Linked DNA regions of Oryzias latipes. The protein of the gene in region 1 purifies or fractionates together with the protein of each later gene. This does not show direct contact. Links are inferred from orthologs where the notes say so. Each region holds a gene or a part of one and is shown on either strand. Other genes may lie near its edges.

The links.
Region 2: the proteins of hsd17b10 (region 1) and trmt10c purify together in Homo sapiens (co-immunoprecipitation; 3 studies listed by BioGRID and IntAct, counting the BioPlex papers as one, with this or other methods). This does not show direct contact. The link is inferred for Oryzias latipes from reciprocal best matches to the Homo sapiens genes HSD17B10 and TRMT10C.

The regions. Positions count from the first base shown.
Region 1 is NC_019865.2:26,393,534-26,398,146, forward strand, and holds the start of hsd17b10 (3-hydroxyacyl-CoA dehydrogenase type-2), read left to right. Parts: upstream 1-1,720; 5' UTR 1,721-1,797; coding exon 1,798-1,821; intron 1,822-3,345; coding exon 3,346-3,510; intron 3,511-4,259; coding exon 4,260-4,424; intron 4,425-4,503; coding exon 4,504-4,613. UniProt on the Homo sapiens protein: Mitochondrial dehydrogenase involved in pathways of fatty acid, branched-chain amino acid and steroid metabolism. Acts as (S)-3-hydroxyacyl-CoA dehydrogenase in mitochondrial fatty acid beta-oxidation, a major degradation pathway of fatty acids.
Region 2 is NC_019861.2:16,612,512-16,616,612, reverse strand, and holds trmt10c (tRNA methyltransferase 10 homolog C), read left to right. Parts: upstream 1-1,353; 5' UTR 1,354-1,463; exon of another isoform or gene 1,464-1,571; 5' UTR 1,572-1,630; coding exon 1,631-3,151; 3' UTR 3,152-3,441; downstream 3,442-4,101. Other genes in the region: txnl4b (thioredoxin-like protein 4B), read right to left, coding at 887-1,038, 1,135-1,266. UniProt on the Homo sapiens protein: Mitochondrial tRNA N(1)-methyltransferase involved in mitochondrial tRNA maturation. Component of mitochondrial ribonuclease P, a complex composed of TRMT10C/MRPP1, HSD17B10/MRPP2 and PRORP/MRPP3, which cleaves tRNA molecules in their 5'-ends.

The DNA.
Region 1 (4,613 bases):
AGTGGCTTCTGCGAAGAGGAGTTTATGATCGTTAGGCTGATGGAAACCGGATTTGTTCTGTTGTTGTTTCTCCATGACAGATGTGTCATGATCAGACACAGAATCAACAAGAAGCTGGATGATGTCAAGATCTCATTGAGATGTAGGGGAAAAAATGGGAGCTTTGGGATGAGGTAGTAGTTTGTATAGTTTTAGGATCACACCAGATCTGGGAGATAACTATACAGCCTACTGTCTTTCTCAAGGCCACCAAATCTCCACCTTCTACAAGAATGCAGATGACTTACATTCTACTTCCTGATTACATCAACTGGAAATTAGTTTTTGGGGATTTATTTTCCTACTCTTAAGTTTGCTGTTGTTACGCGTGCCCTTTTTTTTTCCAATGAATGACCTATTTGTTCTGTAAACGTTTAATAGGTTCTGTTCAGACAAAAACAACCTGCTTGTCCATTTTGAGCTTTAAAATTGACAGTTACAAGTTTTTAAAAAAGAAACGACAAAGAACGTTTGTGTGAGCTAGAGAAGATGTGTTTGAAAAAAAGAAGTAGTTGGTTGGGTGTGGGATATTGTATATTTAGGAATAAAACTGAGTAACCATCACTGATGTCTCCTTATTTTCTTGAAAAATGTCTGAGATTTTCTCTCCCAGCTTTTAGAGGTAAAATGCTGTGTATTTTAATAACATATTTATGCATTACTGGTTTTATTTTTTTTTAAGCAAAGCTTTTTTTCAAAGACAGTATTGTGCTGTGAAACAATAAAACTCATAAGAATTGCAAAGCTTAAATTGCAGATTCACATGCCAAATAGTATTTAGAATTTATATTTAAATTTTTGTTTTGAAAAGTAAAAAAATAAGCCTGCTTGTACCATCCTGCTTTTTCACTATAACAAAAGGACGTTTTATTTATAGTAGCATTTTAGGACTTCCAAGGACAAAGAGAACATAGTGACAGACTGATGCAACTTTTTTTTTTAAAGAAACTTAAAACGAAATATAAGATTTTATAGATACACTTATATTTTGCTTCAAAAATGACAATAAAATGAGGGAATGTATCTTGAAAATGTGTGTATTTGTTAGGAAACCGTTCAATGCTTTAAAAAAATGGTTTATCGCAGTTTAAATCAAGGAGGCTTCGGTTGGTCTCCTCATTTGACCTCTCAAAACAGTTTTAATTGGATGATGCGTTTTTATAGGGAGGGGCGTGTCCTTAAAAGCTAATCACTGATTGGTTCAAGTGGAAGTTCTAGGGCAGAGGTTTTTCTGGCACAAAGATGGAAAATCTAAGAGCTCTCACACTGATTATACGTTTATTTTTAAATAGCCTTGCAATTTTAACACAATTTATTAATTCCGTCCATTTTGTACTGTCTTAGTAGTATTAGTATAACATTTTATTTTGATTTTTTTTTTAAATATTTAATGTCTTTGTTGGCAGTCGATGTTTTTTTTCAACTTTTCAATAAACATAAAGTACAAAAATCGTGTATTTTGCATACATTGATTTGGGTTAAAGGGTCTGACTGCAAAGTAACCACAATCACTCAGGTGGAACTGGTTTTCTTTAAGAACGGATTAAAGAAAAAACTTTGAGGATTAACACATTTAAAGAACATATTGACCAGTTCATCCAAAACAAAGCAATGACAATGATTTTAATGTTTAACACAAAATAATGACAGCAGGGGACATGTGGTAAAAAAAAAAGACAAGTTAGCAAATGGTAGACAAAGAACGGATCTTTCACATATACGATCTTCGGTGTGACGTCACCTCTCGGGACAGCAAACATGGCGAACATTCGGTGTGTGAAGGTAAGAAAGAGCCACAGATTTGCTTCTCTTTTCTCGTGGCGTCATTTACATGAACACATTTCAGGGCAATGAAATGAAGATTTAAGCCTAACGCGGACTAGTTTGTTAGTTTGAAGCATTTATTTCCATTCGCCATCTTGTTTTCTGTGGAGTCCAGAAGTTCGACAGACAGACAGGGAAGCTAACATGAAGCTCAGTGATGAACCTCATAGCTGGACTCTGCAGAACAGAGGTCGTTCAAAAGGTCGACAAAGCTGAGGGTTTGATTTAAATCTAATGACTTCTCCATTATTAATGCTTACCCAAGTAAAAAAAAAAGACTTTATGGACTTCTGTACACCATTTACATAATTTTATGACATTTTGTGTTAACATGATAATGATGATGCAGTTCGAGTAAATAATTGTCTCCCTAAAGACTTTAAGCCCTTTACAAATGGGAATAGGATTATCTACGTCAAAGGGCGAAAAATGCAAATAAAGATAAGATTGTGTTTACTATGTATCAATCCAAAAACAAACATATAACAATAACGATTTGTTGATTTTCTGATGTTGCTTTTGCCTGATTCTGTAATTATTATTATTGTTACTATTATTTTTAAAAGACAAATACAGATCAGTATTCTTTTATTTACAGTGGGGCAAAAACAAAACACTTGTCCCACTTAAAAGGCTGAGAAACGTCTGTAATGTTCACCACACAAACACTTTACCTGTTAGAGACAGAATGTAAAATATAAAAAGAGGATTGAGGATGAATCTTTCACCATATGATCCCAAACGCATCACCCGGAAAACCAGGGGTTACATAATAGTATTTTAATGTTCTGGAGTGGCCTAGTCAGTCCTGAGTCTAATAGAGAAACCATGGAGGGAGTTCAAAGTCTATGACCTCCAGCAGCATCTGCAAAACATCCCAGCTCTTGAGAAGATCCGGATGGGAGAAAGGACCAAAGTAGCACCTGCGGTGTTAGTATTCCTGGTGAAGACTTACTGGAAACATTTGGACTCAGTCGTTAAACCAGGGTTACATTGCAAAGTATGGAGAGGATTTTTTAATGACTAAATACACATTTCCTGCAGCTTTTATACAAACATTCCTCAAAAACAATTTGATGAGATTCAGTGAGTTTTCTTTTTTCCACTCTGTCTCACAGTTGAAGTGCATCTATGATAAACATTACAAACCTCTCATCTGTTTAAGTGGGACAACCTGCAGGATCTGTGTCTAATATACTTTTTTCCCCATTGAACAAATATGTATTTTTGATCAAAAACCAATATCTTTGGGCTTTAAAAAGTCAGCGTTTCTGGGCATCACTGCCAAAATACTCGATCTTTTTTAATTTATTAATGTTAATTTTTTTCTACTTGTTATTAAACACATTTGATTTAAATACAAATTAATTTTTTAAACGTCCGTTCTCAAATGGTGGAAGGTACAGACATTTAAAAAGAGTTGCTCAGTTCTCTCCCTTGACTCATCCCATTGAAGAATTGAAGTCTGTCTGTGTTTGGTAGGGCATGGTTGGCCTGGTTACGGGCGGCGCCTCTGGTTTGGGTCGGGCCACAGTGGAGCGCCTGGTGCAGAGCGGGGCGTCTGCCGTCATCGTGGACCTTCCTTCCTCTGATGGGGAGGCCGTGGCGGCCAGCCTGGGGGAGCGCTGTGCCTTCGCTCCGACAGACGTGAGTCTTCCTCTGAGATCCGGTCACAACATGTTCTGTTGGTTGACATGCTCTCATTAGGAAATGTTACTTTTTGTTCAGGTCTGTCTGTCACTTTAGTTTTAGTGTGAACAAACAGTTCAACATAATTTGCATTTTAAACTCTTCCATATGTCAGATCTGGCAGATTGGCTGTAAATTGACATAGTAAGAAAATAGCAGTTCAGTGTAACTGCAGCACACATTTATTCAAAATTAAAGCTAAAGTTCATAATGTTTAACCCTTCTGCTATCCTATGATAAGCTGAAAAGCTGGAACTCCCTTCTTCAATGTCTGTTTGTTTTAAGGAAATCTAAATTCAATATTTTAGTAAACATAAAGAAAAAAATTAGAGATTTGTGCTTAACCCTTGTGCTATCTTAGATGACCCCACCCTTACATTGACGTGTTCTCCCTACCATGACAAAGGTGGATAAAGGTGGAAAGATTTCATGTAATCCATGGACACCAGTGAAGATCACAAATCATTGAAGAAAAAAGGTTCAGAGCACTGTCTTCTGGGGTCCAGATGACCCACCCCCCAATGTTAAAGTGCCTAGGACAGCACAAGGGTTACATGACAGAAAAAAGAAAAGAAAAAAAGTCTCTGCTGTAATGTCCTCTCCGTCCACTAGAGGGCAGTCATAGGTTTAATGTTGGTTCTAACTTTGGCTCCATTGTGCCTAAAAATTGGAACCCTTTAAAGACATGAATGGTTTGCCTTTTCCAGGTCACGTCAGAAGCAGACGTGCGATCAGCCGTGTCTCTGGCCAAAGAGAAGTTCGGGAAGTTGGACCTTGCAGTTAACTGTGCTGGCATCGCCGTGGCGGTCAAAACATACAATTTCAAGAAGGACGTCCCTCACAGTCTGGAGGACTTCCAGCGTGTTATCAACGTGAGCCGAGCAGAAAAAGGAAACACAGACATGTGGGTTTCAGATCACGCCTCACGCTGCTCTGCGTCTGTCCTGACAGGTGAACATAGCAGGAACCTTTAACGTGATCCGCCTGGCTGTGGGGGAGATGGGGAAGAACCAGCCGGACGCAGACGGACACAGAGGCTGCATCGTCAACACTGCTAGCGT
Region 2 (4,101 bases), on another chromosome or scaffold:
ATGTTGTCATTTTATTTATAAACTAAGGGGATTTTCTTTTGGTAAAATACTGTTTTTGTACCACTGCAACAATACACTAAAATCCAGAGATCTCATGTGCTTTTCCACTCCCCATAGTTCAAAGATCTCAAATAAGTGAACAAAATAGTGATAAAGGGTTTAATATACTGTTAGAGCTGTTCATAATTTAAAAAAAAAATAAACCAAAATTATTACCTTCTGCTAAACAACAGTCCTGTTGCTACTGAGGCTAAGTTCAAAAGGTTTACACATGCGTAGTTTTTTTAAGGATATTGTCATGTTTATTTTCAGAAGTAAAGGAGAGAAAGGATGAAGCCATACCAAAATCCTAATGATAGAAAATGTAATAATTGACCTGGCTTTCTTACATTTCTAATTTAAGTAAAACTGTTGCAGTCGGAAGACCTTATTTGACACAGGGGGTATTTTATTTTGAATGGAACTTTTATGTACGGATTTCTACATTCAAAAAGATAAAAACATTTTAGCATAAAAAAATAACAATAATGCTGTTATTCTTTAATTCTTTTAAATATTTAAAAGCTAAGTTTTATAAATGAATGGCTTGATGGTCACAAAAACATACATACAGTGCTTTTTTCTTAACAATAAGGTGGGGGTTTGCGGCTCTTGTTGGGTTTTGGCCAGTAAAAAAAAGTGGACTGACTGATACGGTTTATAATAATAATAACAACAATAATAATAATAATTTAAAACAAATTAAAGTTAAATGTTTAAAAAATAGGTTAATGATATATAATATCTGTATTATAAGGCTGCATTGTTTGCAGTGCCCTTGTAATGCTAAATAAAATAGTAAAATAATGAAGTAAAAGAATCAAATGGCAGATAAACGTAGACTCACCCATAGTCAACTTTCATGTGCTGCCCGTTGAAAAAGAAAACAGTTGAAGGAATGTAACTAATGTCGAAATATCTTGTGTATATCAGCGCTTTGTCTACATCTATTATATAAATGGAAGCCATGTTGCTCAAGTCGTGAGCAGTTTTCGATAACTAAAAGAAAATCAAGACAGAAAAAGAAAATCAATACTGAACAGACAACAACATTTATCGAAAACGGCATTTTAAACTTTACTTCTTGTCGCTTACAATCTCATCCAGCTGCAAACAAACCGAGTCTTCGTCTCTCCCAAATCGCAGAACAACGACTTTTTCAGCCACCCCTTTGATAACATCATCAATGTCCTTTTTGGTTGTTAATTTAGGCAAAAACAAACTCATTTTGCGGGCTGATGTGTTAGCTTCGTGACTTTCGTCGCGAAAAGTTAGCGGAAATTACATCATCAACTGTTGTTCAGGACCGAAAAGCTTCCGTTTGGAAACAAATACGACACATTACAGTGCGACACCCTGAAACAACGTGACCTTCCACCCGATATGAAAAATCTCGTACACTGACACACGTTGGATCATCATTGGTAATATTCTCTATTTTCTTTAGATATTCTACGATGCTACAAGTCTTATTAACGTAAAAATGAGCTTTGAAACTTAAAGACTATTGATCCGTATTTCCTTTCATGCAGCGTGGATGTATTCCGGTTGTGCCTTTCAAGAAAGGATAACGTGAGGTGATTCATTTAAAATGCTTCGACATTTATTCAGCAAAGGCTGTAATGGATTACGGATTGGCTGTCAAGTAGGGACACCCAGGAGTCAAGTGCGCAGATTCTTGCCTCTCACCTGCGATGGAGTACAATTAATATCCTGTCGCCGCCTCTGTTCGGGACATCCTAAGGAGAAAGATCTTATCCAAACCAAAGAAGATAAATCTGAGCAAGCAGAACCACTAGATTTGGACCAATGGAAGGTGGTCATGAGATCCCAAGCTAAATACCAGGAGCAAAAAGTTGATGATGGTTTGGAAGGAAGTAACGATGGGAGTCTGGATGAAAATGGAGATGATTGTAAGAACAGTTCTTCCCTGGAGGCAACTCGTGAACTTGTGTCAATGTGGCGACAAGCAGGTAAGCTTGTGCCTCAAGAAATGACCGAAGACGAGCTTCAAACCTTGTCCGAGCTCACGACTAAGTCCTCCAGAAAGAAGTACCTAAAGTACCTGGCTATCAGGGAGGGCTACAAACTGTCCCGCAAAGAAAAGCAGGCACAGAAGAGAGCAGAAAAAGAAGCAACAATGAAAGAGAATAGAGGCGGTGCAGAGGAAGGGTCTGATCAGGAGAACAACCAAATCCCAAACTCGCTTTTCCTCAAGTTTTGGGGACATTCTTTTGACAGAGTGTTTGCTTGGCGAAGCGCCCAGGCCATGCTGTTTGGCCAACCACTTGTGTTCGACTTCAGCTACGAGTCCAACATGTCTCGGCGAGAGATCGAGAACACTGTGTCCCAGCTGCTGGAGGTGGAAGGGTGGAATCGGCGCGCCATCGACCCTTTTCACCTCCACTTCTGCAACCTGCAGCCAGACGGACCTTACCACCAGGAGTTGATCAAACGGTACAGTGCAGAAGTTTGGGATCGCCTGCTCGTCACCAACACTGAACGCCACTATGTGGAACTGTTCCCCAAAGAACAACTGGTCTATCTCACTGCAGACTCCCCTAACGTTCTGCACTCCTTTGACCACTCCAAGATCTACATCATCGGAGCCTTGGTGGACCGTTCCATCCAGCCAGGGCTGTCCCTGGCCAACGCCAAGCGCCTAAAGCTGGCCACAGCACGCTTACCTCTGGATGAGTTTCTTCACTGGGAAACTGGAGCCAAAAATTTGACTCTGGACCAGATGATCCGTATCATGCTTTCTATTAAGATGACTGGGAAATGGGAGGAAGCTTTAACGTTTGTGCCTGAGAGAAAGCACGATGGTTTACACCAACAGCAGACAAAACCTTTGCGAACAAATACGACAACCAGAGGTTTTACAAATCAAGGATGGAGAGAGCATGCTGACAGGCCACTAAAGTTTAAAAAAACACACGAGAAAAGGACATTTATGAGCCCCGACCAGTCGAAAAGGGAGCCTGGTGGAGACAGAATAGTTGGTGCTAAAGAAAAATCCACATCTGGAACTAGAGTACGGACATCACTGAAAAGTAACCTGGAAAACAGGAAAGCTGCAGATAGAAACAAGATGTGGTGGGATGATGATTGATGTAAACATGTTGGTCAACAAGAATGTTTCAATGCCTGTTTTTGTAAAATGTTGGCAAATAAAAGATGGAATTTGGTGTTTTGGAGTTCTGATGCTGAGAAACTAACAGGTTTCATTTAAAAAGTAGAAACTACCTTCAGCTTATGTACACAAATGTTCAAAAATCTTTATGGGGTTTGTGTCAGTGACATAAGATGCATGAAAAAACATCTGCACAACTGAAGATTACTTTGTACAGCATGTGTAACGTTAAAAAAATGTTTTCCAATTGACAATCATAGATTGAGTGATCCTAAAAAAGTAAATGATAAATGGAAAGTGCAACTAATTGTTTTTATTTATTTTTGTATCAGTATAAGATCATATGTTCATTTTCAAAATAAAAAAACATATTATTAGACATTTTTTAAAATTGTGTTATTTTCAAAATATCTTGTCCAATAATTTATTAGACTTTAAAAAAAATCAACCTGAAGTAATAGGGAGATAATAGGGTTTGTTGATTAGCAAAGATCTTTTTCTCCTTTTTTTTATTCCAGATTCTTCCTCTGCAGCGTTTGTGAAGAAAGAAAAAGTTTAATAATGTCTGTAAGTAAGGCTGTCTGCAGTTCAGGTTAAGGAGGTGAAGGAAGGAGCTCCAAGCATATGGCTACAAGTATGACATTGCTCTGAAATGTTGAAAAAAACAAAACCGCATTAAAAGACACTGAAAAGAATCTAGAAGGTGTTTTCAGCTGTCTTAAATTTTTTAACAATAAAAACGGTTGGACCCTTTTTCTGTTGCTTTACATTTGTCTGCAGCTCATCTGCTGCTTCAGTCCTACCCTGTTTACGTTGGCTATGGTGGCCGTTTTGGTTCAATTTTCTGCTCCAAGTACAGGTTGTATTCAGTCTGGGGAATCTCAGAGCGCACAGAAGCTCAGTCCGATTGGAAACTAACCCACAAAGAT